Linked DNA regions of Alligator mississippiensis. The protein of the gene in region 1 purifies or fractionates together with the protein of each later gene. This does not show direct contact. Links are inferred from orthologs where the notes say so. Each region holds a gene or a part of one and is shown in the gene's direction. Other genes may lie near its edges.

Region 1 (10,228 bases):
CTACAGCAAGTAAGATAAGACAGGGAAACCATTGTTCTGGGTGCAGTGGTTGTGTCCTTGAGAAGTATCTACTACTGTGTAAGGTTTTGCTAACATATTATAATGTTACTGTTAATTAACTTTTAGCTTTTAAAGAGTGCTAGTTCAGCTTAATAGAAATATGCTGTTACAAAGATTTGTAAAGCACCGCCCAAGTATTGCTTCTGTTAACCCTGTAAGTCTTGCCTTATAAGTACAAAAGATCGCCTCACCCTTGAGGGGGGGCCATTTTGCCTTTTGCTGGCTTTATGGTCTTTGCTGGAGCAAATAAACAGCTGTCTTTCTTTACTCGCGTTGTCTGTCTATCAAATTACAGCTAGACAACGAACCACAGGGAGGTTTCTCCCACCCCAGCAATAATCCAAGCAGCAACAGCTGTAATAGGTCCTGTGCTGCCGGTGACATCAAACAGGCCCGTCTGCATGTGCCAAGACACTGTACCCCACCACGGGTGCAGAGGAATCACAATGCCATTTTGGGAACAGGCGAAGGCAGGTTAGGCATTCCAACTGCACATCCAAACCCCAGCCCAACTTCCAACAAGCCCTGGGTTAACAAAGCACAAGGGTCAACGAGCCAATTCCCTCAGGCTGTGGCATGCTGAGTGTTGATATGCTAATGCAGGAGCCAGGGGCCGGACAAAAGCAAGGAGACTGCAGCCCCAGCCTCTGGCTCCAGGGAGTCTGCAGAAGCCCCCCCCACCCAGGAAGGGGCTACTTGCCATCACAAAAGGGAGAGGTTCTGCAATACAATGCTGTTCTGCAACACAATGGCCTGTAGGCAAGTTCCTAGAAGAGGGTCTAAGCAGAAATTGAGGTGATGAAGCAGACAAAAAAAGGGGGGGGGGAGAAAAAGGGCAGGGGTGTCTTTGCAGTCAGCAACATCTGCTCAGACCAGCCAGACGAGGGCAGGCAGGGGTAGGGTTCTAGCAGCCCGGGTGCCCACATCATGCTATCATCACAGAACCATCTCTCATAGAAGGGACCTTGAGAGATCACCTGGTCCAACTAGGGATCAAACCTGCGACCTTGGAGTTATTAGCATCCCACTCTAACCAGCTGACCGCAGCACTCCCTCCCTCCTGGGGGTGCTCACAAAGAAGTTCCAGCCAACACGTAGCTGGGGCTGTTCCAGGACAGCAGGACACTGGCTAAGGGTGACCGCAGCATGGCTACGGGCTGGTGGATTTAACACAAAGGAGTTTAGACCTTTACTGGCACACAGAGGGAATCCCAGTGCTGGCCACAGGCTTCCAACATGGCTTAGATTCCCAGTCCCCACCAGAGCCCCCATAGGGGCAGCTCAGTCTGTTCAGTCCTGCCGCGACCTGGAGACCGCGCCAAAGAGGGACAGATGGGTGGCTGTTGCAGACACTTTCCAGGAGCACATTGCTGAGGGTGCTAGCAAAGTCATGGGGCTTCCTCCATGGGAAAGAGAGGGTCTGTGTCCCCGTGCTGTCCCCCAAGGGACCACACCAGACTCCCTGGGCATGGATCCATGTACACCAAAGACCGCACACTTGATCCTACCCCACTAGGCGAAGGAGTTTGAGACACCAGCCAGCTACTCGAGAGCCGCTTCCAGGGGTCAGAATCATCTGTGAAGCCCCTGGCACAGGGTAACTCCTTTGTCACTCCCAGATGCCAGGAGCAAAGCCCAGAGGACAGAGCCAGGGTCCTGGCAATCAGGACTCCAGGGTTCCAGCGCCAGCTCCTGGAAGGATCAGGCCCCTTAACAGCGAGGCTGGGTTCTGCAGAGCGCAGCCCAGGACAAGCACGTGCTCTGTAATGCAGGAATACCAACACCACTTCCCCATGCCCAGGATGCACGTCCAAGTGTCTCTGCCCTGAGCATACCCCAAGCCCCTGCACCAGTCTCCTACCTTCCCATTAGCTCGCGTTGCCCCAGGGCACAGCGGGTTGGACGGGTCATAGCGGGGCACATCCTCCTGCACCGGCTTCTCCACCTGCCCCTGCCAGGGGCGCTTCATCCTGTGGGCAGACACCAGGACCCAGTCGTCCCGCAAAGGGTTGTAGCGGATGTGCTGGTGCTCTGGAAGGGAGAGCAGTGTTGTGAGCGGGGAGTGGAGCTGCTTGAACACATCATCCCCCGGTGCTGCTAGAGCTGTTGGACACAGCAGAAGTACAGAGACCCCCCCCACCTCAAACCTGCCCGACTTCACCCACAGCCCAGCACGGGTTCCCACTGCAATCTCAGCACAGGCCAGGCGCCAGGACTCCTGGGTGGTCTCCCTGGCTCTACCACCGACTTGCCACATAACCTGGGGCAAGTCACTTAGGCCAAGGCTCAAAATATCAGCTAGCGACCTACACAGAGGGAGTCTCCAGCAGAGTTCACTGGCTTTCACCTTCCTCCTATCCCACACCTGAAGGGGTGCATAGGGCTGTCTCCCATGCAAGCTCCAAGCCTCTCCACCTGGCAGCCTGCTGTAGGCACTACGCCTGGCACTGCCAGCACAAGCAGGGAGGCTTCTGTCACCTCACACCGCTCTCCTCTGGGGGCACGTCCGTGCTGCAAAGGTGCATGGGCCCATCAGCCAGAATGCGGGACCCGACTCTGAGGAGCTGGGCACAGGTTACTGGTGGTGAACAGGGTTTTAGTGCCTGAAGGGCAGTGTAATTGCTGCCACCCGCTGGGTCTGGAGACACAGCTAGGGGTGAGGGGTAGGGCAAGTACTCCGCTGAGAAGGGGAACAAGCCAGAGCAGCAGAGGAGCTGTGCAACACAGCAGCAGGGCTGGCATCCCCAGTTCCTCAAGTCCTGAGCACAGCAGGCAGCCATGCAGGATTGCTGCTGGGGGACAAGGCTGGGTAAAGGATGTGGGGGCAGGGGGGAGGGCACAGCACCCTCGGGGGTCCCCAGAGGTCCCCTCTAACCCAAGCCCAACCTGAGGCAGGATCAAGCCTGTGCAAACCAGCGCGGACAAACCCACTGCCCAACCTCTGAGCACGAAGTCGGCCCCAGGCATCGCCCCCGACCCTGCCCAGGGAAAGCAGGGGGGCCGCAGCCACCAGCGTCCTGCTGCTGCAAAGAAAAGGGGGGTCACAGACACCCACAGAATCACAGGCAGCGGTGGGAGGTCCCTGGCAGGGAGCCACAAGGGAGCTCAGCAAGTCCCATCCAGTCCAAGCAGGACCAGGACCAGCCCCAGCTCCATCATCCGCCCCAGTCTGAGCAGGGGGGAAAGCCCTGCCTGGCCCCAGCGCGGCATCAGGCGAACCCAAGAGCTGACGGCAGCGGCAGTACCTGCCGCGCGCTCCATGCTGCTTCCGCTCCCGCTTCCGGCGCCGAACGCTCGCGCGCCCAACGTTCCATCCGCTCCGCCCCGCGCCGCGCGCCTCTTAAAGGGGCCGCCGCGCCCTGCGCTCCTGCTGCTGTGGCCGGGCCGGGGCGGGGCTGAGCCCGGCGGGGCGGGGCGGGGTTGGGGCCGAGGCCGGGGCCGCCCCGCCTGGCCGGGCCGGGTCGGTTGGGGCCGGGCCGCCCCGTGCGGGAGCAGAGCGGGTCGGGAGCGGAGCGGAGCGGAGCGGGCGCGATGTGGGTGCTGGGGCCGCGGGCGCTGCGGGCCGGGCTGGTGCTGGGCGCGCTGGCGCTCGTGCTGCAGGGGATGCGGGTCTGGCTCGGCTCCAAGCGCTACGAGTTCCAGCCCGACGAGATCGCGCAGATCGCCCGGCACCACGCGGGTACGGCCCGGCCCGGCCCGGCCCGGCTCGGGCTGCGTGGGGACCTGGGGGAGGGGTCCAGGGGCTGATCTGGGGGAGGGGTGCAAGAGCTGGTCTAGGGGTGCAGGGGGCTGCAGGGACCTGGGGGAGGGGTATAAGAGCTGATTCAGGGGGCCAAGGGACTTGGGAGGGGGTGCAAGAGCTGATCTAGAGGTGCAGGGGGCTGGGGGGACCTGGAGGAGGGGTGCAAGAGCTGATCTAGGGGTGCAGGGGGCTGGGGGGATCTGGGGGAGGGGTGTAAGAGCTGATATAGGGGTGCAGGGGGCTGGGGGGATCTGGGGGAGGGGTGTAAGAGTTGATCTAGAGGTGCAGGGGGCTGGGGGGATCTGGGGGAGGGGTGTAAGAGCTGATATAGGGGTGCAGGGGGGTGGGGGGATCTGGGGGAGGGGTGCAAGAGCTGATCTAGAGGTGCAAGGGGCTGGGGGGACCTGGGGGAGGGGTGTAAGAGCTGATCTAGCGGTGCAGGGGGCTGCAGGGACCTGGGGGAGGGGTATAAGAGCTGATCCAGGGGGCCAGGGGACTTGGGAGGGGGTGCAAGAGCTGATCTAGAGGTGCAGGGGGCTGGGGGGATCTGGAGGAGGGGTGCAAGAGCTGATATAGGGGTGCAGGGGGCTGGGGGGACCTGGGGGAGGGGTGTAAGAGCTGATCTAGAGGTGCAGGGGGCTGGGGGGATCTGGAGGAGGGGTGCAAGAGCTGATATAGGGGTGCAGGGGGCTGGGGGGATCTGGGGGAGGGGTGTAAGAGCTGATATAGGGGTGCAGGGGGCTGGGGGGATCTGGAGGAGGGGTGCAAGAGCTGATCTAGGGGGGCTGGGGGGATCTGGGGGAGGGGTGTAAGAGCTGATATAGGGGGCTGGGGGATCTGGGGGAGGGGTGTAAGAGCTGATATAGGGGTGCAGGGGGCTGGGGGGATCTGGGGGAGGGGTGTAAGAGCTGATCTAGAGGTGCAAGGGGCTGGGGGGACCTGGGGGAGGGGTGTAAGAGCTGATCTAGAGGTGCAGGGGGCTGGGGGGATCTGGGGGAGGGGTGTAAGAGCTGATCTAGAGGTGCAAGGGGCTGGGGGGACCTGGGGGAGGGGTGTAAGAGCTGATCTAGGGGGCTGGGGGAAGGGTGGGGGTGGTGCAGGGGGTTGGGAGGAGCCTGGGGTGCATGGCTGGAAGGGGCTGGAAGCTGCAGCCCACAAGGGTGCAAGGGGTTCTGGTGGCGGAGCCTTAGTGCATGGAGGCAGGCAAAACAAGGGGCTTTGCAGGAGGTCTCTCAGGGCTGGGGGTCAGCAGGTGCCCTCTGCGATTGCCCAGGAGGCCTGAGGGCATCCCCTGTGAGCCCAGGACTGCTCCAGGCAGGGCACAGCGCACAGCCTGCACCCGCTCACAGTGGAGCAGTGAGCCCCAGGGATGGCAGGGGGAGCCCAGGGTGATTGCAAAGAGCAGCCGGTGCAAAGGGCAGCAGGTCCGGCTCCCCCCATCCAGTCTCCAACAGTTGTTTGAACTCAGTTCGGTGGCTTGGGCTGGCAGGGGCAGGAGCTGGCAGGGTGTGGAAGGTGGAGCCTGCAGGAAATGGAAGTGAAGCAGGGGCCTCTCAGAGACGCTGGACATGAGCCAGGCTGAGCCAGCCGTGTCTGTGCCGTAGGCCTGGACCATGAGCTGGCCTTCTCCAAGATCATCATGGAGCTGCGGCGGAGGCACCCAGGCCACATCCTGCCGGACGAGGACCTGCAGTGGGTGTTCGTGAACGCAGGCGGCTGGATGGGCTCCATGTGCCTGCTACACGCCTCGCTCACCGAGTACGTACTGCTCTTCGGCACCGCCATCGACACCGGGGGTCACTCAGGTAAGCAGTCGCTTCCACCCCCTTCCCTGATAGCCACCAGGTCTTGTGCCTGCGCCAGCGGCTGCAGCAAGGGAAGTTGAAGTTAGATACTAGGAAAAACTTTCTCACCAGGAGGGCAGTAAAACACTAGAACAAGTTATCCAGAGGGGTGGTGGGATCTCCATCCTTGGAGCTATTCAAGACCCGGGTAGACAAAACCTTGTCTGGGAGGATGTAGTTGGGGTTGGTCCTGCTTGGAGCAGGGGGTTGGACTAGATGTGACCTGAGGTCCCTTCCAGCCCTCATTTTCTATAATGTAAGCCAGGCTGCAGGGCACTGCTTTGCTGCATGGGCCCAGCCCTCTGTTTGGGACAGGTCTTTGCGAGGCAGTTCACTAGGAAGGGAGAAGGGGGGCGAGCCACAGAGCCTGGGAGTGGACATGCCAGCAAATGGGGACCTGCTCAACTGGGTCTGCCCTGGGGCTCTGCACACTGGCTTGTTCCCTGTCTCCTCCAACCAGTGTCCACAGTCACAGTGCCTGAGCAACAACTGGTCCCACCAGTAGCTGGGGCAACTGCTTATGGAGACAAGTGGGCAATTGGGATAGGGAAATACGAAGCTAGACCCCGAGGCATCGGCCCCACTGGGCAATGACTGCAGTGACCGGTTCGGCAGCTGCCCTGGTGCGTTGTGTGCCCAGGCCTGGTCACCTACGTGTGGGAGGTGGTGTTAGGGTACCAGGGGAACCCCATGGGCACTCAGGCTTGTCTCCCCAGAGCAGGGAGGCTGTTCTGAGATGGTCCAAGGCGGGGAACCGACCGCTGGTGGCACAGTGCAGGGAGGGAGACTGGTGCTAAAGGACGTTGCTGGCACCCGAGCCTGGCTTGCTCTGTTCTGCACAGCCAGGACTCCTGGGTTCCAGCTGGCAGGACATGTTGGCCCTTCCCCTAAAGTTACGCCAGCTTCACCTGCCAAGGACTTTGGAGCAGAGAAATGTGTTTGAGGCAAGGATTGTTTTGGATGGCCTTGCCCTGCCAGAGGCTGATTCAGCACCAAGAAACCCGCCTGGCTAGTCCCAATCCAGCAGGGCTTGGCACAGGCCCAGGACTGCAATCAACCAGTTGATCCAGCAGCTCTGCTCCCTCTCTGCATGGCTGAGCCTGCCATCAACTCAGACGTGCCCTCCAGCACCTTGATCCAGCGCCTGGATGGGACAGAGGGAGCCTGGGGCCACACCCCAGAGCCCTGGCATGACCCAAATCTCTCTTGCAGGTCGCTACTGGGCTGATATATCGGACACGATCATCTCAGGGACCTTCCGGCAGTGGAAGGAGGGGTCAACCAAAAGCGAGATGTATTACCCAGGTGAGTGTGGGGGGCCCCTCACGCCTGTACTCTGAGGCTGGGTCACCTCAGGGCTTTGGGGGAACAGGGTAAGCAGGGAGGGGGTGCTGGGTCTCTGGAGAGCTCTTCACAGCTGCCCAGCGAGGCAAGTAAATGCAATATATGCAGGAGGTATATAACTGCAGAGCATGCTGACAGGGGAGGGGGTGCTTGAGGAAAGCTGAAGTCCTGACAGAGGTAGTGGCAACCCCAGGAGGGTTTATATGCCTAGCATCAGGGCTCCAGCCAGCCTGATATTGGAAGGGAGGGCAAGGAACTGTTCCAGGACTGTGTAGCAGACAGCAGGTTTGTGCTGTCTGGGACCAGGCGCAGTCCAGGTCAGCCCCTGCCTTAGCTGCCCCCGCCAGTGCTCGCCTCTCCTCTGGAGTGCTGAGCTCCCCCTGTTTCCAAGCCCCTCCTGGGACCCCCACACAGCTGCACCAAGGCAATCCAGGGGCAGTGCTGGCAGGTGGGGATTCTCCTTGCCCTTCCACCACCCCCCAAAATGATGGCCGGTGCATCTGCCTGCAGGGGACACCATCGTGCACCGGATGGGCGAGACCACAGCGGTGCAGTGGAGCGCTGGGACATGGATGGTGGAGTACGGTCGGGGCTTCATCCCCTCCACACTGACCTTCGCCCTGGCCGACACCATCTTCAGCACTCAGGACTTCCTCACTTTCTTCTACACCCTCCGTGTCTATGCCAAGGGGCTGCTCCTTGAAGCCAGCACCTACTTCATCGGCGCTGCCCACTGAGGTCTGGGTGCTGGGGGCCATGCCCTGCCCCTGCCACTTCTGGATAACACTAGGGCATCCCTGCCCCATCACCTATGCGCCCCTTTCCAGCGGGCGTCCAGCTCTGGGGGCTAGCCGGACTCTGCTGGAGAAGGAGATCAGCCTTTGGGAACGCCCAGCTGCTCCTCCCTGGAGGGACCGTTGTTCAGACTGGCTGCCCTGCGGGGGTCCCCAGGGGTCCTGCACACTCTGGGTGGGGCTTGGGCCCAGCCAGAGGTGCTCCCAGGAAAGAAGCACGGCCAGGAAATGGGTGTGCCAGCTGGGGAGGAGCACAGGGGGCACAGGTTGTAACAGCCCTGTGCTGGACACTTCCATCTGCGTAAGAGCAGGGTCTGATACAAAGACCCCCTGGACCAGCTCCAGGGTTGGCCTCCTGCCCTCGGTGTCAATGACCTGGCCCCACACTCGATCTCCTGGAGTACCACTGCTGCCATCAGCTCTGCCTCCTGTCGGTGCAGCCAGTGCCCCTAGGAGCCCTGTGGTGCCAGCCAGGCACGCACGTGTGCATATGCATCTCAGCTGTCCATGAGCGTGCGCTGTAATGCCTTCTGACAGCTCAGGGGAGGGGGGAGAGGTGGCAGAGGCCCCCTCCCCTTGTCAGGGCAGAACCATCATCCATTGCCTTCACCAAGAGCCTTACTCTGGGTCTGCACACATGTCCAGGCTGGGGAAGGGCAATGCTCACCCAGGGGCTGTCGCCTGGGCAGAGCAGACCCAGCCCATCCCCCTTGCCCTTCTGCCTCCTGTGAGGCCTTGCCCCACAGCCGTCATATGTCCTACCCCCACAACCTGGGCACCCCCTGACTGGCACATCCTGACCCCCAAGCGGGACAGGGCTGACCGGGGGGGCAGCAGTGAAGTCCCATGGCCACCCACCCAGCGGTGGCAGGCTGCATACTGCTTCTCCATGAAGCAAAGAACTCAGAAACGGTCCAGCATCCACCTTCACTGGTAACATCCAGGGTGCTGCCCCATGGGGTGGAGGTAGGAGGATTGTAGGGGTGTTTGAGGGTGCTCTTGGGGTCACCTGCTGGCCCAACAGTGTTCCCATCCTCTTGTTACCTGCTGCCCAGGGCCATTGTGAACGCTAGCCCCTGTGGCTCGGCCCTCCCATTCTTCACAGAGGGCACAGCCCTGCTCCGTTTCCCCCTCCCAGGGGCAACTGGCTCCCATGTGCTCTTGCCAGGGCTGCAGCTGCTCTTCCTCCCAGTCCCAGTGCACTAGTGGGGTCGGGAGCTATGCACCCCCTGCACCCATCTTCCCTGTAGCTGGGATCCAGATGGCCCTGTCCGCCACATACCCAGCAGCGCCAGCCTCTTCTGTTCCCAACGCAGCGTCAGCCCAGCAGCCACCAAATCCCATTGCTTGTGTCAGACTGGTCCTGTCCCAGCCTTTGGGGGGGACATGGTTAAGTATGTCACCAATAAACCTGCTCGTGTGACCAGTCTATGCGCAGAGTCTCTGCCCCATGCAAGGCCTTGGGGGGCCTGGGTGGATGCAAGCATTGTGCAGCCCCTCGGAGGCCAGCTCCCGGCTGTAGAGAGGCTCTGGGACCTTTCCAGCTCTGCCTCCTAGCATGGCCCCATTGAGTTCTGCTATGTGCTGTGGGGGGAGTAAGAAGAGGGGTTGGTTTGGCTTGTGCATGGCCAGTGGAGCTCCCACGTGAGCCCTTTCATGGCTTGGTGAGTCTTGGTGCCAGGGGGAGCGTGGGGGCTTTGCCAGGCACTCCCTACCCCTGGTGCCTGGCATTCCCATGACCTCCACTACCATCCGGGGGCTTGGGTTTTCTGTGTGCAGGGGCAGGGGCTGTCTGAGCCCAAGCCCCTTGCTGGGAACGTTTCCTCTTCCCTGTAAGGTCCCCTGGGGATGCGGAGCTGGGGTTCCAAGGTAAATGGGCACGCAAGCCTGGCTCAGGCCCTGCCCAGGCAGGATCACCCTATCTCCCCAGGTGCCACCAGCCAGCAAGTGGCCTCACAGCTGAGTCCCAAACTGTCCAGACATCCTGTGGTCTCTCAGCTGCTGGCGGGGCTTCTCTGCCTTTGCTCTCTTCCTTCCCAGTCCCAGCAGTGAGAGTCCTAGCATTGCCCCAGGTCCTGCCACAGCCAGGTGGGAGCTCAGCTAGAAACCAGACAGCCCCTTTCCCAGGGGTCTATTTGCAGATGACACCAAGTTGGGGGGAGTAGTAGATACACTGGAGGGTATGGCTAGGATTCAGAGACCTCGACAAATTGGAGGACAAAAAGAAATCTTATGGGGTTCAACAAGGACAAGTGCAAAGTCCTGCATCTAGGAGAGAACAATCCCCTGCACTGGTGCAGGCTGGGGGTGACGGGCTGGGCAGCAGCTCTGCAGAAAAGGACCTGGGGTGATAGGGGACAAGAAGCTGGACAGGAGCCAGCAGTGTGCCCTTGGTGCCCAGAAGGCTAACGGTGTCCTGGGCTGCATCGGTAGGAGAATTGCTG
Region 2 (10,228 bases), about 210 Mb from region 1:
AATAGCAAACATCATTTTACACATTACACTGGAATAACACCTCTCAATTTGGCAATATGTATAATGGCAAATAGACTTTAAAATGTAGGCATCAATCAGAAGACATTAGCAAATATAATGTTATCCATCTCAGACTGAATATGGGCTACTCAAAAAAGTATCTTACGGATCTGATTTAAACTGAAAAATATCAGTGCAAGATGAGAACAATCTGCAGGGCTAACTGTTCTTGATTACAGCACTGTACACCTTGAAAAAGTTCCATTAGCTTTCCCTCTCTTCTCTGATTTCTTAATAATTTGCCCTCCTATGATTTGTTAGACAAGACTATGCCGTCTCTATTCAGCTGAAGACACAGGCATTTGTAACACCAAAATAGAACTTTTGTAAGCTTGGCAAATACCTATGAAAATTATGCCAATTTTAAATCCTTTCTCATTTAGGATTTGCATAACTCTGTTATATTTCAATCCACAGGTTTCTAGGACCACTCAGTGTAGAGCTGAGTGATGTTTTGTTAGATAAAAAAAATGTATGAAGTCAAAAGTGAAAACATAAGAATTATCATCTGAGCCATTTGCTATTTATGTTGGGTAAACCTAATATCTTTTATTAGACCAACTCAGATACTTGGAAAAATTCTTTGCAAGCTTTTGGGTATAAATACCCTTCGTCAGGCTGAGGAAGCACCAACAGTTGGTGTGCGCTCTTCATGAATGGAATGATGCTTCCTCAGCCTGAGGAGGGGTATTTATACCCAAAAGCTTGCAAAGAAGAATTTTTCCAACTATCTGAGTTGGTCTAATAAAAGATATCAGGTTTACCCAAATTACCTTGTTTGCCTGTGTCCTTAGACCAACACAGACAGCTACAGCCTATACCCCTGCTATTTATATTAGCACTTATACACAGCAGTTAACATTTTTGCCAACAGATGGCGATGGTTTGTCATATTAACAAACATCTGGACTATTTTGTGGTTTGGTTTTTTTTGCTGTATCACCTAGATTAAATATTCACACACAACAGCAGGCTGCCATAGGAACCAGGAGCTTGTGTGAGTATGTCACACCATCTCATAATTAAAGTGGTTTCCTTTGAGACAGATAACAAACATTAACAGACTGGAAACTCTTTTAGTCTCAGACGATTACAACACTGATCATGCTACTTGACGTCAGCAGTTTGTGAATATTTTACACCTATGTAAGCAATGTCTTTGGAGCAAACTATTCTGTGGTATAAACCCAGTAAAACTGAGAGCGTTACACAATTTCATGGTAGCAAATAATTCCAGCTATTTTGGGAAGATATGATGTCAACATAGTGTAATTAATATAATAATATAACAAACGTATTACTAATGATAGTTGTAATAAAATATACTAATAAACTTAGTCATATGACCCACTTTGCATGGGATTGTGGAAATATATTTCTAAAAATATACTGATATTCTATCCAAGCTCATTTTAAATTATTTAGAAGCTTGTCGCCAACGGTATGCTGTCACCCAATACCATAATTTATTTAGGTTTCTTTACCGCAAAGGATCCCAAGTTACTATATAAATGTTGCAAACTCACAAGTAAAATACAGCTATTTCTGGGCAGAGGCAGGCCTAACACAGTCGTGGCTTACAGAACCTGAGTCAGGGCACACCAGATTCAGCCAAAATAAAATGAACTCTTTTAAGTTTTAGGCAAGGTAGTTCCTAGTGAGTAGGCTGAATAATTAATGCTTCCCAATTGGCAGTGCAGTGTGGGCCATTTCTGGATTACGCTATTTTGTTTGTTTATTGCTTTATTCAAGATGAGAATCCTTCAGCAATAAGACAATGAAAGACTTATAGCACAAGTTGTGAACATCCAGGAAGTGCCGTTTTGGATTTGAAACATGTCATGGATTTATTTTTGGCCACCTTTTGATTTATTTTTCATTCCTGGGCTGGATAACCTAAGTCACTTACCTGGGTCCATATGCCAACTAGTTTGTCAGCACATTGCTCACAGTCTTATGAAGCTCTTTAATTGGCTAGATTCCTATTTGATGTTGATGCCACTAAGTTGTCCATCAGCTGACACTTGTGCCTCACAAATATATTTTAAATACATTTTCTTACAAAAAATATGAAATATTTGTAAACCCCATTTTACTTAGAAAACAGAATTTACTTAAAACGATATGAGCAACTGAAATTCTGTGCCCTGACAATAAAGCAAGCAACTAGTAAAATGAGATGGTGCAGCTGGCATCTATGGGGAGGGTCATATTTAGCAGGTTTGATGGCTTTGAAAAGTTTGGTGCAATCGGGAAGGAATTCTTGGCCTATTTTGGTAGCTAAATTGTTGCTCATTGCACACTTCTCTTTCTTTCCATCCCTTTCCCCCCCTTTTTTTGTATTGCTTATTGTGACACAGTTCAGTTTTACAGGTATAGTCGATATACGTGTTTCTGATTTTTGTATCATATTTCAAAAAAGCATTTTTTATAAAGAAAAACATTTCCTTGAGGTGATGGGGTGGAAAAGTAGCTGTGCAGACGCTTTTTAACTCTAGCTAGAAATGTTAACTCAGGTATGGAAATAACTTCTAGTGAAGTAGTGGATGCATCATTAAGATGCTGAAGAAGGTCTGAATCTGAAAAAGAGCTGCACATTTAATTCTAATGACTAATGAAAGAACTTCTATTGATGATTTTGCCTAGCTTGTTGGGCTTTTATATATAATATTTGATCTAACAAATGAGTGCCCATACCAATAATGTTGGTGTTTTTTTTTCCTTTTGCTTCCATCCTCAACAGAGTGATATAGCCCTGGGCCCCTTGCATATTAGTAAGCTTCTAGTTTCTTTTGACTGGAGAAAAATGGATGTTGTGTTCTGCGGGATGACATGCTTGGGTGTTGTGTTCTACCTATTAACGTCCTTGGGTATTGCGTTCTATGTGGTGATGTCCTTGGGTGTTGTGTTCCATATACTGATGTCCTTGGGCATTGTGTTGTTTGCGACGATGTCCTTGGATGTTGTGTTCTCTGCAATGGAGCACTGGGGTATTGTGTTCCACCTATTGACATCCTTGGGTGTCACATTTTACGCGGTGATGCGCTGGGGTGCCGCGTTCCATGCAACGTCCTGCTGTTATATTTTAAGTGATGAAGCCCCTGATTGTTGGGGTCTGCGTGATGCTGTGTGCGGGTGCTGCCTTCTACCTGTGGATGTGCTGGGTTGCTTGCTGTGTGACCAGGTACGGCCGCAGCCACACCCCACCACCTTGCCAAAATCCGAGATCTGCCCAAGGGGGCAAATCCCACGCATGACATTAAGCCTGTGGCAACTTTGGGCAGAGGAGGGGGTCAGTGCTTAGCGGGGAGGGGAGACCCAAGCCGCCGCAACACGCAGGGGCGCTGAGGCCTGACAGGACAGGCGAGAGGAGGTGCCTGAGTCTGGGGCTGTCTGTGGGGAGCGGGCAGAGGCTTGCAGCAGCCTCCGGCGCGGCGGGCGGCGAGCTAGGGCTGCGGGAAGCGCCCCGGCCATAGCCCCACGCCCTGCGCCGGCTCTCCGCGCCGCAGGGAGGCAAACACTAGGCCGCGCCGAGGCTGGTGGCGTGAGGCAGCGACGGCGGCGCGGGGTTGGCTGGGCCGGGCGGGCTCCGCCTCCCGCCGCCTTGCGGGGCCCCCGGCGGGGCGGTGCTGAGCTGAGTCGGCCCTTCCGCATCTGTGTGGCGCGGCTCGGCTCGGCTCGGCTCGGCTGCTGCGTCGCCTGTCCTAGCCCAGCCCAAGCCCCTGCCTGGTCATGCGGCGCCCGCCCGCCGCCCCGCTCTCGCTAGCGCTGCTGCTGCTGCTGCTCGGCCCCGCGCAGGTGAGTGAGGCCGGCGGGACCCCGCGGCGGGAAGGACGCGGCTGCCCGAGGTCCCGCGCGGGCGGGCGAGGGGCGCAGCCGGTGCTCCATGGGCTGCTCCCCCCCCCGAGCGCGCCCAGCCCCGGCCGCCCCTCCCCCCCGCGGCCGCCCGCTCTGCTGGAGTCACAGGAGCGCACGTGCGAGCCCCCGCCGGGCTGCCGGCTCTCCTGACAGCTCTCCTTTGCAACTACTCCAGGAGAGCCACGGGCGCTCAGGAGGGCATCCAGTCCCACCCTCTGCAGGACCAGCCCCAACTAGATCATCCCAGCCAAGGCTCTGTCTAGGCGGGGTTTAAGAGTCTCCAAGGATGGAAATCCCACAGCCTCCCTGGGCGCCTGTTGCAGTGCTTCCCTCCCTCCGAGTGAGCAAGTTGTTCCTAATATCTAACCACGACCTCCCTCTCTGCAGCTGGACATGGTTGCTCCTTGTTCTGTCCTCTGTCACCACTGAGGACAGTCCAGCTCAGTGGTTCTCAAACTTTTTTTTTTTTTTTTGCGGACCACTGGAGAATTGCTGAGGGTCTCGGTGGACCGACTTAATCTCCGTTGTAAGAAAAAATAAATCAAGTGCCAGGCCAAGGACAGATATCCCCCATTGTTCCGCAGCCTTTCTGCGGACCACCTGAATGGAGCTTGCGGACCACAGTTGGAGGACCTCTGGTCTAGCTCCATCCTCTTTGGACCCCCCTTCAGGTAGTTGAAGGCTGTTGCTTGGTTTTCCAAGAGCTGCTGGTCTGTTTTTTTTGTTGTTTTTTTTCGGGGGGGGGTTAATCTAGGTCAAGTTGCCTCTTGTCTTCCTGGCAAGAAAGCATTTTGGCAATCCTAAAATCACAAGGTCCTTTCCAACCCTAAGCTTCTGTGAATCTGCACAGTTGAACTGTTGCAACACTTCTGCAGGCTGCTTCAGTGAGGTTTCAGGGATTGCCACAGGCTCCCCAAGATACTTTTCATTGTTAAAAGGGCATAGGCTAGAGCAGGGGTGGGAAAAATGCAGCTTGGGGGCCAGATGTGGCCCGCCAGGCCATTCTATCTGGCCCACAGGGCCCCTAAAAAATTTAGAAAATTAATATTTATCTGCCCCTGGCTGCGTATCATGCGACCCTCGATGGCTTGCCAGAACTCAGTAAGCGGCCCTCCGCCCAAAACAATTGCCCATCCCTGGGGTAGAGCATATCTAGCATGCGATGAGCACCACGTGGTATATACTGTGCTGAGATTGATAAGGTGTTATTTTTCTTTTTCCTAACTTTCTGAAAACAGCTGCTTGCTGCTGCAGCTTGTTTGTCAGGGTGTGAACAGAGGCTACAAACCCACCATAAAAATGCTGAATGCTTGAGCTTTCTTATGATACTTAACATTTATCGTATGGGATATCACATCTAAACTAGTTGAAACTTAAGATTTACATAGCACGAAATCAAATCCTAGAGCATAACAGAGACTTGATATGGGATACCCTACTCCAAACATGATGTAGGTAGAACAAAAAAGTGTCTGCTTTAGGAGGACTTTAAAAATGTTTAATTATACAGAACTTGAGTATGCTGGTGAAAGATACTTTATGTTTGCCAGAGCCTTAGAAATGCAAGAATATTCAGGAGGAAGGTAATTCTCATTTAATAGGACATACTTTTGTTACAGTGTTATTGAGGGGGAGGGATAGGTAAATTCATGTGACCATATGAGTAATTTTGCAGTCCTTGTTTAAGTGGAGGAGATTGGAAGGCAATGTTGGATGTAGAGCACACAAGTGTAAATCACATGCATGTTTGCATTTTTTTCCTTGGGCAGCACAGTGTGCTTTTAGAAGCTGAGGTTTTAACTCTCAAACTCTTGAAGTTGCCTTTTTTTTTTTTTTTAAACAAGTAAGCAGAATAGAGTACTGTCTTGCTAAGTCGGGTTAAGCAAAGTACACATTCTCCAGTTCTGTTTAAAGTGGTTTTGTCTTTCTCTGTGGTCTTGAAATTCATTATTTTGTAACACCATGCAAGATGTGGATTCAATCATGACTTTGTCCCTGAGTGGACAGATGTTGACAGTGCTGTAGAGATAGTGAACTTTACTCTCCTAGACTGGAAGATGTATTAGGAGAAGGAAAGTCCCTTGTTGCTGTGCTGTGACCTCCTACGTTCTAGAAGCAGAATTGAGGTTGGTTTGAAGAAAGTCCTCTCCAGTTCTTGGTTGCTAGAAAAATTCTCCTGGAGAGGGCATCTAAAGGTGTTGTCTAAGACCTGAAAGCCAGTGGGATACCCTGCAGAGATCTAGCAAAGAAAAACATTATCAGGGTCTCATCTTGTGGAGCTTGCTCCTACCCCAGGCAAGCTGGAAAGAAGTTACTATTGTATGCAAACTGGTTAAAAGTGTGCACAGGGCTCTCTAATAGTTCACATTAATATACCATTTCTTATAGATCACTAAACACAGTATAATAAGACAAGCACCATAATATGCAGGCACCTATGGAGCGTAACAGTTGGCTTACACTGTCTAGAGCGAATATGGGGTTTTTTTAATTGGATTTTTCATATTCACACAGAGTGGATAAGCCCTGCATGTTAAAAGTTTTATCTAAAATCAGGCTTTAAACTGATACCACAGTTCATTTAGTTCAGTAAACAAAAAGGCTTCATCCGAATTGTAACTGATGAGAGTATTTTGTGGCTTCAAAAATATTGCACTATAAACTTGCCTTTGCCCTGTATTTCTCAACTGATCACCAAAGGTTTAAAACAAAATTGCCTTTATTTTTATATGTGCGTGACTTATAAACTATTAGAAGTCTCATTTAACATTAAAGTAGCTGTGACTTATTTTTCACTTATTGACAGGTTTAGAAAGTCTGCTAACTTAGGAGAAAGGAGCAGTGGAATATATATATTTAAAAAATAAAACTTTGACCTGTGAAGAAAATCCTCAGAGTGTGTATGGGTACAGTGCTGCCTTTTTATTGTGTAGTCACCACTGCTGTTTAAACAGGGAGAGGGTTACATGGTTGCTACCTCCGTGACTGTTTGGGGAGTTTGGGGGTAGAACACGGGCAATGTTGCTGCAAAGGACTCTTGTCTTGGAGGTTCCCTTCAGCTCTCCAGCAGACAGCTTTCTCTATGGCTTCATCAGTCACCCTGGCAGAAGGGTCTAGGGGCTAGCCTGCTCCACATATGGCACTGCCTTCTTGTTAGAAGAGTATTGACAGGTTCTTCCCATTCCTCCACCCCAATCCACTTGTCAAGATGGCCAGCAAAAGACCTGCTGTCATTGAGCCTTATTGGCTGAGACCTGCTTGCTTTCCCTCTTAGAAGAGGGGAGAAATCAACTTCCTTGCCACTGAAGCAGTTGCTTTGTGAGAACCAGGGGGTAGGGTGTTGGCCTGCTACTGGCTACTTGACTGGGCTGGGTTCTTGGCAGCTACTGCCCAGTGCTGAGGGTATCAGCTACCAGCCAGGCCCTGGGTTTTCCCTGGCTTTCCCTATTACTTCATCTCTGACATGATCACTAGCAGAGTCTGGGGACTCCCGCCAGTGCTTATGGTGGCACCCATGGCCCCTTTCCTTTGCTATGGTCAGTGAGGCCATTAATACTAGTTTCCCTCAGTGCAGACCTACCCTGGGCAGCAGTGATGGTGGTTTGTGAGTCATGGGGGTGGAGTGGCAGTGGTCCAGGAAGCCCAGTTCCTGTGTGGCAAGTGGACTTGGGCCTGGCATGGGATAACCTAGTGGCTGCGGCCCTAGGAAGAAAGGATAGTGAACTAGAGGGCTGGGCTTGTTTGGGTTAATCCCTGGATCCTGGGGCCATGCCAGAAGCACCCGCCCCAGAGCAGTGTTAAGTGCCCTTCAGCTTCAGCAACCCTGGGCAGAGTGCCTCATGCTGCTGTTTATCACCAGGCCCTAGCAGGCTGAAGCAGTGACTCCAGGTTCCTGCTGTATCATGGATGACTCTGGTTGTTGTACCTGTGCCTGGCTGGGTGCCTTTGCCAGGGGCTGTGTGGCTTAGCAGTGCTCTTCCCTGTGCAACACAGCTCCCCCTTACTCCAGCTCCACTTCTTCCTTCCTACCAAATCTACAGCCCTTGTCCCTGTGGGTGCAGAGCTGAACCCGGGGTGACACTGATTTGCTGTACTGCAGGCTAGACCCAGTTGCTTTGGAGGTTGGATCTGGCCTGTGGACCATAGGTTGAGCACCACTAATTACATAAATGACATTTGTTTGGGTTAGCGCAGTTAATAGTAGACTGAGATCATCATGAGTAAGTAGATGAATAGATTTGGAACATTGGCATATTCTTATATAGTGAGAAGATTTAGTACTTGGCTTAGCAGACATTAAGTATACTATACCTTTTTGTGTTTTTTATGTAGAACTGTCAGTTGGAAAGAATTAGAACAAATACTCAGCTGTTTGAATGTGTGTTTGTTTGTTTTTTTGTCTTTGTGCCTCTTGACATAACTTATAAAACATTTCTCTACCTTTGAGATCCAGTGGCTTAGTGTTTTGTGTTCTTTTTCTATTACAGAACTAAGTCAGGGACCTGGGCTCCAACTTTTATACTGTCATAGTCTTTCTTGTGCCCTTGAACAGATCTTTAATCTCTGTCTCAGTCATTCCTTCTGTAAGATTTTGATGATACTTATCAACCTCTAAAGTTCTCTGAGATGTTAGGGGATGTAATGTGGGTCAGAGGTGGAACCAAAGTGAAGGGAGTCACTGGTCAGAGTGGAAAAATAGTAGCTGTTTCTGTATAGCTCTTAAATTGTGGGTGTGTGGGAGGTGGGAAGAATTCTATAGTAGAGCAAAAAAAGGTTGGGGGGAATCTTGGAATAGCTCTGGTGATGTGGCTAAAGCCTAGCAAACTTCCTACAATACAATTGAAGAGTGAGAAAAATATATTTCATTCCTGATATGCAATAGCTTTATTGTTACTGAACTGCAGGACAGCAAAGCAGGGGCTCTCAGTCATACTAACTCTTTGGTAGCTTTCTGATTGCAGGCAGATGGGTAGTACATGGTTAATAGTTAAGCATAATACCCCTGCTCCTAAATTTGTTCTTTTTGTCTATGATTCATTCAAACCAAGGTCAAGTTTAGATGCAGTAATTCACTGCAGCAACTAGCTTCCTAAGTTAGTTTTAAAAAATTCGTAGCAAAGCTATATCAGTTTGATTTCCATAGCCCATAACACCAATGCTTCTCATTTAAACTCGGCACTAATATCCAGCCTTGCAGCTTGCTTTGGGAAGTAAGTTCCAGGTAATGTGGTGCTGTAACAGGGAATGAAGGAATGTAACCGAGGTTCTGTGATCTTTCTCATGGAATCCCTGCCAGGTGTTTTAGATTAGAAATGGAGAAGAAAAGCTAAATACAATCTTCTCTAATTATTCAGTGTCTGGTGCAAAATGACAAATAATCATTGTTATCCTTTCAACATAACATGATCATTGTTCTTTGTGCCTGTACAGCATGCTGATTGTTTTGTGATGGTCAAGCTGCCTGTGACCTTATATCCTTGAGTTTGAAATACAGGACCAATGTTTAGGTAGGAAATATGTGCTGTACATTTGTTTTGGATATCTTCTTCATACCAGGCCCCGATGGCATATTCTTTTACTACTTCATCTTGGATTAGTAGGAAGAATAAAAATGTTTAATTCAGTATAGCAAGTTGAATATAAAATAATGCTTTGTGTGCTAGATGCATGTAATTTATTAGAACTTCAGTGGGCAGAGCACTTTTGATTTTAACAACCAATGATTCTAGTAAGCAGCAACAAAATAAAGAGAGCAAAGTAAAAAGTCCATGTGGGCTCCATCATCAGACATGCGTGGTGGTCACTTGTTACTTCAGAGCAACCCAGTCATGTAGCAGACATTCACAAGTGGAGACTTGGTTTCTAATAGCCAACAAAAAATCCTGTATACATCATAGTTTGATGCTAATAAGCAGCTGAGTCCAAGTGAGATTTTGATAACTGGCAAATGCTGTAAATATTTTTGCATGCACATCTGGGGCCAAAAGTCTAATGATGTCAATGATAACAGTAGTGCATGGATTCATAAACTACCTCTCCATTTAGGTTTTTGTTAGCTTGATCCATGTGAATTGGAGACCCAGTTAGCTGAAAGAGTTGACAGATAGCAGATTAGTGTAGACCTACCTAGGCTAACCTGGGTATAGGTAGGAGTCTAGCAGCTGCACAGATCTCAGTATGGGTTGCAAAGCCATAAATAAATAATGACCTGGGTGGGGCTGAGTTTGCTGCTGCTTCTGCTAGACTGTTGCTAGTTCCTAAGCCAGCCAAATCGCACATTTCGACTATGATGCACTCAATTCCATGACTT
Region 3 (10,228 bases), on another chromosome or scaffold:
TTTGTTGTAAGCTTGTCATTATGGCAGTGCTTGGAAATATAATTAAAAAGGCAGATAAGAACTGCCATCCTAGAAAAAATGTTTGAAAGCAAGCATGTCACCTGCAGGAAACAGGTAAGATCCTTCAGGCCAAGAGAGATTCATGAAGTGAGTAACAGTTCCTGGAGAAGGCTTTCCATGTCCACCTAGAAAGAAAGGTTCAAGGAAAGACTGGAAATAGATGAGCTAGCATGGCTGTTGAAAAGATGTAGGGTAAAAAGGGTGATATTGTCAATTGTGTTTACATGAGGCCATGAATATACTACTGTGCTAAAAATACTAATAGTATGGGAGAATACTGGGAAGAATGACAGTGGAAAAGCACTGATGCTAGACCCTGAAAGAGCCCTGACAAGGTGAAGGATTATTTACCTTGAATTGTTTGGCAGTCTATTGAGTATCACACCCTGAGGAAGGAAATCAAGGCATAGCAATACACATGAGGGCTGATTTAGTAGATGTGGCACATACTTTCCTATAATCTTAGGCTGTCAAATGCCCTGGAACATGGGGTTGTACCCCTTATATATGTTTACCCTATCCAGTGTTCATCTGAAAGCTTTTACAAACGTATGACATGGTAATCCTTTGAATCCAACTTGTATTCAATGAGGAAAATACTGCCTTTCAACATTTTTTAACTTGTTGCTATTCCATTTAATTGCTCCTTGCAAATGTTATTATGGGAATAGATGGGAAAGCCTCATTTATCCTCTCCAGATTCTTCAGGGTTCAAAATTACTGTCTCCTTTTACTAACCTTGTCTCTAAACTTGCTTAATTTTTTCAGCCTCTTTTTTGTAAGGAAAGAATGCTTATCATACTGCTGTCCAACTCTGAATCTCTTCTAGTTTAAGAAATAAATGTTGGCTAGTAATCTAGTGAGTAAATGCTATGGATGTATATAGTGAGAGTGTATTTTAAATATTTATGTGAGGCAGAAATAGAATCATTCTTTAGATAGCCTAACATTATAACTTGCAACTATCATTTGCATTGACAAGATTCCCTCAGTAAGCTGTCTAAAGTTGCTTTTAAGTGAGTTGTATAGTTACCACAAAATGTCAAAGCAACAGAGAACATTTTGAGCACATTACTTACTTTCATGCTCATAATACTACAGAAAATCTGTTTATTTTGTAACAATATTCAATAAGAAATTTCTGCAGCAGTAACTAGCTGCACTGATTGCCACCTGGCTCATTCCAGCTCTAATAGGGTGATCTCATAATCCCACAAATACCTTCAGGGCCTGTGTAACATCTCACTAATTTGATATAACATCCAAGTACTGAAATGTTGTTGAAACACTGATGTCCCAAGCCAATCTCATGCTTCTCAGAATATTACAACTGTAATACAGGAGTTTCCTGTTAGGCCAGACCTCTCTTGGCCTTCTATCTGGTACCATGTAAACCAGTACAGCCTGTTCTATGGTCGGGTTGTTGTCAACTAAACGAGCACTCCCACCTGTGCTAGCCTGGGTGAGGAGGGTGTGTGGACACCCAGCAGGACTGAAAACAAGACCTGTCAAAGGTGGATGAGCTTCCTGCAAGCCAACAACTATCTGTACCTGGAGAGGAGATGGGTGCCAGCAGGTCACTTTGCCCAATGAATAATCAATGATGCAAATCAACTCAATTAATCTCATACCAGATTGGTCGAGGCCTGGGTCTACGACTGCATCCAGACAGAGTGCAGTAAAGGAGGGTTGTTACAGCATCTAAGGTGCTCCAACAATCGCAGCAGCCTTGGGACGGACTCGACTTGAATACAGGAGTTTGGCCTGTCTGACAAGATTCTTTGGGTAAATCCAGTATCTCTTATTAGACCAACTCTTATGGGCTCAGATCAAGCATAGACCTATGCTTGCCTGGCAAGAGAAACACCATGACTATGGAGGCAGTCCTTCCTAGTCACACTAGGGAAAACTGCTCTCCTGGCACAGGGATAGTACTTGCCAAGGTAATGTATAATAAACCTCCCACTTAGCTGCTGGAGTGGGAAGGTCTTGGCTTTAAGCCCACTTTATGGAAATTTAAGTGTCCTCCCTGGCTTGCCCCTGAGGTCCTATGGCTGAGGGCAAGCAAAACTTGGGGGCATCTGAACCCCAAGCCTCTGGGCTTGGGCTTGCAAGTAGGATGCCCGCCAAAGGTTTTGGAAACATCTGAAGCCCCAGGTGTGGGTGGAAGATGTTTGCTGGTAGTAGGGACACTTATGGTTCTGGACCAACTCTTGAATTTGGAATTTGTTTTGGCTAATTTGGCTTGGAATATGGAAAATTAACACCCCCCCCTCCCCCAAATAGTTTGAAAAATTCTTCTTACCAAGCTTTTGGGCACAAACACCCTTTGTCAGACTGAGGAAGCATCTGCAGATGGTCTGTGTTCTTCCTGGATGGCATGGTAAAGCAGCCAGAGACCAGTACTTTTATGCAAGAAAGCTAGTCAGTTAAATGTAAATTTAAGTGGTCAGTAGGTGAGAGACAGGTGGGAGGGGAAGGGGGAATGAATATAGCTGTAGTGAAAGGATGGGAGACAGGAGGGTAGGGGGGAAGGGAATGAGAGTAGCTGGTAAAGTAGAGGGTTTACGTGGGGAGTCAGATGTTAGATTTGACTGTCTGACAAATTCTCCAACAGAGCAAATATAACCAAGGTAACTAGCTGAGCTTTATGATGTAGGGCAGGATTAAAACTTTTGTAATAGCATAGCTCTCCATTCTAGATATTGTTCACATCTCCACCTCAGTTGTTAGTGTGATACATTCATATCCCAATCTAGGTTTTTTTGGTGATACTGTCACTGTGGACTTAGAAACTTTTACTGAGGGCAATTCTAAGGCTTTTAGCATGGCTTCCTTCCCTGGCACAACTAAATGTCACAGCTCTTATCAAGAGATTCACCAAGTTAACAGGTTCACAGAAGGTTAGGACTAGAAGGGGCATTGGGTCCAGCCCTCCTACTCTGGGCAGGAAAGACTGCTGGGGGCAATGTGGCAAGCAGCAGAGGGAGCTGAGGGTGACCACTGGGCAATAACTGGCCATGCTGACCTCCCTGCTTCTGGGCTGGGGGCTACGCAGTCTGCTCTGCTGTGTTTGAATCCATACACTGGGCCTGTGTGGTTTTAAGCTCTCCCTTTAGTCCCTGGGTCAGTCTCAGGCAGTGCCTCTGGCTCAGGCCTCCTTCTGGCACGTGCTCTAGACATGCATAAGAACACTGACATGGATTGCCATTTACCGGGTCAGACCACAGGGCCATCCAGCCCAGTAGCCTTTGTCACCTGGCAGCACAGATGCTGAAAGGGAGAGAGGACTGGGTATAACCAGGGGTTTTCCCACTGTTTCTCTCTCACTTGCAGCTTCCATGGTTGATGGAGGAGGGAAGCTCTCATTCAGAGGCCCCCATCCTGCCCTTCCACAGACTGGGTCTGGTGCCTCTCTGAGGAGCCCTGGCCCGGCCGCCGGGGCAGCACTGGCCGCCCCTCAGCCAGGTGACGGTCACCCCAAGGCCCTTGTCCCCAGCGCTCTGCTTTTGTGCACATCCCTTCGGGGCTGGGGATGCCCCGGGGCAGCAGGGAGGTGCCGCAGGTGCCGCCGGCTGCTGCTCCCTCCCCAGGCGCTGCAGGCTCGGGCCTTTCCCTCGGCCCCGGCGCCTGCTCCCCGTCTCCCGCCTTCTCCTCTGTGGAAAGGGACGGAATGGAGCCGGGCGCTGCCCGTCCGTAGGTGGCGGCTCCTCCGTAGCCCCATGAGGGGGAGACTTCCGCCCGGCCCCGGCTCCCGCGGAACCCCAGCGCTGCAGCCCGGCGCGGCGGCGGAGCGGCCGGTCCCTTCCCGGCGGGGCGGGCTTCCGGGGAGTCAGGTGACGGCCGCCGGGGCCGAGCGCGAGCGGGAGCGGCCCGAGCCCCACAGGTGAGCGCGGCGGGGAGTCCTGTCCTGTCCTGTCCTCTCCTATTCTGTGGGGTCCGCCAAGGGCTCGGGGCGGCGCCGGCGAGAGGCTGGATCCAGCGCGGGCGCCGAGGGCTCGGCCTCGGGTGCTGGGCTCGGCGGGGAGCGCCCCGCGGGCTGGGACGTGGCGCTCCGCCCTGGCCGCTCGCGGGGCAGCTCTGATGGGGGCAGCGGGGCCGGGGGTCCCCGGGAGCGACTGCATCGGCAGCGAATTGAGCCCCGGGAGCAAAACATCCCGTAGGCAACTGAATGGGGTTTGCTGTAGCGCGTGTTTAGCTCCGATGTGGGATTGTGGGGCGTAAGAGCCGGGCGTAGCTGGGGGCCTCCTCGCGGCCCAGCCGGGCGGGGCTGACAGGAAGGGCCCCCGGGCGCTGTCTTGTCCCTTGTCGGTTCCTGCCTCTGAGCCGGGGCATCGGGCACCGTCGGGTGTGCTCGGCTCATCCGGGTCTCATGTTTTGAACCTGTGATCTTCCTCCTTCCCTGTGTTCTTTTGTGTTTTCTCCCAAGAAATGAATTGTTACTTTCTCAGGGGCTTCCCTTTTTAAGGGAGGTGTATGGTTTTTCTTGGTGGGCAATGGCCCACAGTCCCTTGAAAGCAGCAAATAGGCCTGTAGGCCTGTCCCTTGTCGGTTGGTGCCTCTGGGCAGAGTTTCACTGGGAAGTGCCCACTGGCTTCTTGGACTCATTTGAGGGTTGTTGGGCACTGGCCGTTTGCCCTGCTCACTGTCCCACCTTGGCGCGCTTGTATTGAGCAATGATCTCACTCCTATCCCGTTTTCTCTTTAGCTATACCCCCAAACAACTTGACCTATACCCAGTAGACTTCCCTAATAACAGGGAGGGGCTAACCACTGCTCCATGGGTGTTCAGCCCACATTAGCCCTGTGTGTCAGATGGGGCTGGCATAGCCAGGTTATCTTCTGGGATTGTTCAGCATTTCCTGATCTGCACAAAATAAACTAAATACTTCTTTATTGTGTTTAGAAGTGTCAAGCAAAATCTCCTTGGTCAGCCTATAGAGATCTTTATCCATTGTCCACATCAACTCCTTAAAGAATGTTTGCTTTTAGTAAGTTAATTCCTTCATGCTCTACTGCCAGGAAAAATATCCGGGTTGTGTTATCAAACTGGTTAAAGCAGTTTTGCTTTATTCCTTGGATGTGCCCAGGTAAAAACAAAAAACAAAGCAAGCAAGCAAGGGTGCTTTTGGATAAGTGTTGTTCCAAGTTCTGTCTGAATTTATTCTCTTTTGGATGGAAGACAAAGAGGATAAAATGTGATTTAGTTATTTCCATCTCTTCAGTTTATTTTCTGATGGGTTGTAGTTCATATGGTTTCACTGTACATTGTATACTGACAATAACATTGCATTTGTGAAGCACCTTTAATTTCAGTGGATCCCAAAGCACCCTTTAAATGTAGGCCTCCAACTTCTGTCAGGTTCTTGAGCACAGGTCTATGAAGAAATTAAATAAGGTTGTGTATTGGTTCATGGATCCAGGCTGGGATAGTACTTTACACTAAAATGCAAACTATCTGTAAGAACCACCGATTGAATAACTGAAATGTGTATAGGACAGAGCAACATACAAACACAGGAATCTGGAATGTCTGTCTAAAGAGCAAGTTAAAGCATAACCTGTTTGTTTCTCTTCATCCATCCCCTGTCCCTTAACAAGTAGATAAATATGTGTTTAATAATTAACAAGTTGGATTGCCTCAGTTATGTACATGTCATGAATATCATAAAATGAACATCAAGGAATAAACTCAGTGCCCTAGCAAGGCGGGGAGAGTGGGGTGACCGCCCTGGGCACCAAAATGAAGGGGCGCCAAGAGGCACTGCCCAGCCGGGTCAGTGTGCAGGACAGAACTGCAAGCAGCTCGTATGGGGAGGCACAGGGATGGGGGGGAGGGCAGCTCCTGCCACTGCATGCACTCCCAAGTAAGCATAGAGGGGAGGGTGTGCCCCCCCCAGATCTGTGTCTGGGGCAAGAGTGGACTGCCGCTACGGGCTTTGCCCCAGGCACCAAACCTTGTTGCTACAGCACTGAATATACTTATAGTTTTTTGTGGGGCAAAAAAGTGATTTCTGACCACATGTTTATCACACTTAAAGTTCAGGGAACTCAGTTTATTTTTCATATTGGTGTTTTGTTGTTTGTGTGGGCTACATGTTACAAACAGTCTGAAAAGAAAGGTTTCCTGATGCTTTTACTGTTAATGACAGTTTTTTTAAATTTTAATTGCTGTGTTAGTACATGAGAAAGTGATCGAACTCACTTTCATTGCTCAAGTTGAGGGGGGTTCAGAAACTAAATACAATAGAATTCGTAATGAAAAGCAAACTTGATTTAAAAATTCCTTCAGTTTATTATAATCTCAGATATAACAAAGTGCAACTCATTAGAAGTTTTGTATTCATTTTGCTAAACAGAATTGTTAACTTGACAGGATCCCTTTTGATTTCATATTTCATGTACATAGCAACAAGAAGTATAAAATAGGGCTATCATCACAGTTAATGTGTGCGATTAATGCGTTAATCAGTTCCTGCATTAATTTTTTTATATTGCGCATATGGTTTTGGAGCCTGCTTCTGGGCTCCAATCCACCAACTCCAGGTTGCCTAGCGGGACAGTGGTGGCAGCACAAAAGACCGCAGGGCAGCCCAAGTGGCTGCAGTGCATGGGGTGTGGGGGGAGGTGCAAGGACAGATGCATACCAGCAGCTGCGGCCTGCACGCTGTGTGTACAGCAGTGCTGCACCATAATTCTGTAGCGGGGGAGAGGTAGGGGGAAAAGGAAGGGGCATGGCAGATGAAGTACCCCATGGTGAGGGAGGAAGTGGGGTAGGGGCTGGGGTGAATAGGGCCCTGTTGCCGGGGTGGGTTGTGGGCCAGAGCCACGAGAGGCTTATCCAGGGGTGCACGGGGGCTTGGCTCCCTGCCGCTGCATGCAACCGTGGGAGAGGGATAGGGGTCATGTGCAGAGGTAGGCTGCCCGCTGTGGGCTGGGACTCTGCACTCTGCTGCTTTTGCCCAGGGAGCCACATGCTGGCCACATGTTCCCTACCCTCCCAGCTGTCGGACGCACATCGTGGCATACTGCAGCTCCTGGGGCAAAGGCAGAAAGGCATAGAGCCCCAACCTGCAGCGGCAGCCTGCCTCTGTCCCGCACACAAATTGTGGGGGGGGTGGCCCCCATGCCTCCCCTGGGGGTACACACAGTGGCAGGGAACCATGCCCCCGGGCACCCCTGGACAAGCCTCCTGTGACTGTCCCGTGACCTGCCCTGGCCCCATGGCCCCATTAACCCCAGCTCTGCCCCATGCACAAATCAGGGGGCATGTGCCCACTATTCCTCCTCCACAGTTGCGTGCAGTGGCAGGGAGCCCCTCACTGTAGGAACCTTGATCGCCCCTCCACAGACATAGCCTCCAGGCGCTGTGCATGTGTCTGTGACTGTACTTCTCATTCCCAAACCGTAGCCCTCCCAGCCCTGCTGCTGCCCCTCACTCCTGCCCCACAGCACCCTGCATCCTCCCAAGGCATGCAGGGATCCCCCCTCCTCAGGCTCCAAACTCCACACACACACCCACAGCCCTCCACACGCACCCCCAACCATACAAAGTCCTGCATAATTTTGAGTTCTTTTGCATATAATTTTATTTTTTAGCTGTGCGATTAAAATCACAACTAATTGCGACTAGTTTTTTTTTTTTAATCGTGCAACTAATCTTAATCAAATTTTTTAAATGTTTGACAGCCCTAGTATAAAATATGTAGTGTTGGCATCTAGTCAGTGACATAGATCCCAGTTGGAAAGCATTTATTTTGAATGCTTTTGAAAAAAGTAACATTCTGATACTGCTATAACTATATATCCTGGAAATATCATTTATAATTTAAGTGGTATTATCCTCTCTATCTCACATGCTGAATTATTTTTCATCTGCTGTCTTTCCATCAAAGTTTTTGCATGCTCTAAATTAGAAATACTGTTCTTTTCTGCAGTTCCTCCTCATTTTTTCAGAGGCATATATATATATATATATATATATATATATATATATGTACCTTGGGCAAACTTTTATAAGTTTTGATTCCTATTAAGTTCAGATGCTTGGCTGCTTTTAATGACAGTTTCATTATGCCAGCATCTCTTTGGTGCAATATTTGTTGCCCTGCATCTTTAGAATATATTTCCCGTATAATTTGGTAGTGTTGCCTCCCTCCGTTTGCTGATTGGCAGGGCTCAGGTAATACTCAACAATATCCCATGTTATTATTTCTTCCTCAGTCTTAGACCATCTGTTGTTCTCAACTGCCATAGAACTTCAGATGCCAGTGGGCTGCTTCGCAAAGGTCCTGCTTCCCCTTCAGTGCTGCTCTTGTTCACTCAGATTGGCTCCAGATAAGTCTGGGTAACCTAAAGGGATGCATGTTGTAACCATTCATATACATCCTCTGTTTTGTTTCCCCTTCCCATTATTTAAGGAGGCCTGCTTGGAAACAGGTCTTTTTGTTTCTTAGCAGTTAAACAGCAGGAACAGGAGCAGATGATTTCCCATGTCAAGTAGGAATCTTTAAGGGACTCGGTCATTTCCATGGCACAGAGGATTGTGACTTCAAATTAGGGGATAAACAACAGGAATAGGTGGATACCTGAGAAACAAAAAACTTGTTTCCATGGAAATGTCTCAATGATAAAACATAAGAAAAAAAAATGGAAATCCTGTGAAAATTTTTTCCATGAAGTCATAACTAATACTTTTTTTGTTTGTTTGTTTCTTTAATGTTCCTGACATTTGAAGTGCGTTTTGAAGAGTAGGTCTAAACAGTGGACTTGGGAAACTTGCACTAGCAATTCTGTACGCTGCGCTCTCCTTCACAACTTTTTGTTTGCTAAAGCCTGGAAGTGATCTGGTGTGGGGGTGTATCTGGCGTGCTTAATCTATTCCTTTCATCTGAGCCCTGAATCGGACACAAAATGGACCTGTCTGCTGTCGGCCTGAAGTTTCATCATGCAGGCTAGAGTGGTTAAGTTACAACTGTCACAGAACTTGTTTGAACAAAATCTCTTTCCATCCTTGGATTGGGAGGTCTTGCAGATCGAAGCCATAGGAATCCAGTTGTTATGGAGTTACTTACTGAATGTGCTTTCAGTGCTCTGGCTACTGTATTGGGTCTCATGCACATTTGAAATGTAGAAGAGTCTATTACAAACTAGGTTAGATTAAATATACTATATGTCCCAGTGACAGACAACAACAGACAAATGTGGGAAAGAGACTGACTTGCGAAGTGTAGAATCATTAGCATGCTTGTTTTTTGTCATGTAGAATCATAAGCATGCTTGGTTTTGTTAATTTAAGCTATGCATACTGGTTTTTAAATCTACTTTCTCTTGTATAACTAAATTTGCTTTATGAAAAGGATGAAAGCCAGGAGGGAGATCCTTATCTGAAAATGATGTTTTTGGATCTTTAAGTTCCCCAAACTCTTCTCCAGAATATTAAGTGAAATTGCAAGATAGTTCTGTATAAACTGTAATTGGTTTTGTCCATATCTTTTTATTCTAGTTATTACATAGGACTTTCACTGCTGTCTTTCATCTTTAGTGGTTAACTTTTTCATTCAATTATATCTAGTCCTATTGGCTTCTGCTTCATTCTTCATAGTGCTTTGATTTGTGATTTTTTTTTTCTAGTCATTGGATATTAAGGATTCAAGGATTTGTCTGAGGTTACTGTCTATGGAGACTAGTTGTTTAGATAGTGGGGTCTTTATAAATATCCAGGTTTCAGCATCCAGCAGTGAGACTGCCTTCACTTTGGTATTGAACTCTATAAATGTAATCTGTTTTTCCAGGCTGCCTTAAGGGTTACTTAGGTGTGTTTTGTTTTTGCTTTTCTGTCTTTAATATCTTAGTCTGTTTTATCTGTTTTACTTGGGATACTCCCAAGATAAGTGGCATGTCAAACATCTACGTAAAGAATTGTTATTGTTGGCTTTTGCTGTGTTGTGACCCATGTGAGTTTTATTTACTGTTGATTTTTTTTAGTCTCACTAGCAGTGCATGCATCTGGAGGTGATACTTCTGTCCTGTAGCATTAATTTATAGTGGGTCATTTAGTGTATCTTGCTGAGAGAATTAATATTTAATTGTGCCAAATATTCTGATAAAAGGATGCGTGAGAATGCTGAAAACTGTCTTTAATTTGTTGTTTTGATGTTGGTTGTGT

What was found. Proteins that work in one complex are often made in the same cells at the same time.
Region 2: the proteins of SIGMAR1 (region 1) and NPC1 purify together in Homo sapiens (affinity purification with mass spectrometry; 3 studies listed by BioGRID and IntAct, with this or other methods). This does not show direct contact. The link is inferred for Alligator mississippiensis from reciprocal best matches to the Homo sapiens genes SIGMAR1 and NPC1.
Region 3: the proteins of SIGMAR1 (region 1) and RNF185 purify together in Homo sapiens (affinity purification with mass spectrometry; 3 studies listed by BioGRID and IntAct, with this or other methods). This does not show direct contact. The link is inferred for Alligator mississippiensis from reciprocal best matches to the Homo sapiens genes SIGMAR1 and RNF185.

What each region holds. Positions count from the first base shown.
Region 1 is NC_081826.1:300,001,680-300,011,907, reverse strand, and holds SIGMAR1 (sigma non-opioid intracellular receptor 1), read left to right. Parts: upstream 1-3,510; 5' UTR 3,511-3,591; coding exon 3,592-3,739; intron 3,740-5,406; coding exon 5,407-5,607; intron 5,608-6,858; coding exon 6,859-6,951; intron 6,952-7,500; coding exon 7,501-7,727; 3' UTR 7,728-9,215; downstream 9,216-10,228. Other genes in the region: GALT (galactose-1-phosphate uridylyltransferase), read right to left, coding at 1,922-2,091, 3,000-3,027. UniProt on the Homo sapiens protein: Functions in lipid transport from the endoplasmic reticulum and is involved in a wide array of cellular functions probably through regulation of the biogenesis of lipid microdomains at the plasma membrane.
Region 2 is NC_081826.1:86,882,310-86,892,537, forward strand, and holds the start of NPC1 (NPC intracellular cholesterol transporter 1), read left to right. Parts: upstream 1-3,712; 5' UTR 3,713-3,792; coding exon 3,793-3,858; intron 3,859-10,228. UniProt on the Homo sapiens protein: Intracellular cholesterol transporter which acts in concert with NPC2 and plays an important role in the egress of cholesterol from the endosomal/lysosomal compartment.
Region 3 is NC_081833.1:20,564,814-20,575,041, reverse strand, and holds the start of RNF185 (E3 ubiquitin-protein ligase RNF185), read left to right. Parts: upstream 1-3,782; 5' UTR 3,783-3,946; intron 3,947-10,228. UniProt on the Homo sapiens protein: E3 ubiquitin-protein ligase that regulates selective mitochondrial autophagy by mediating 'Lys-63'-linked polyubiquitination of BNIP1.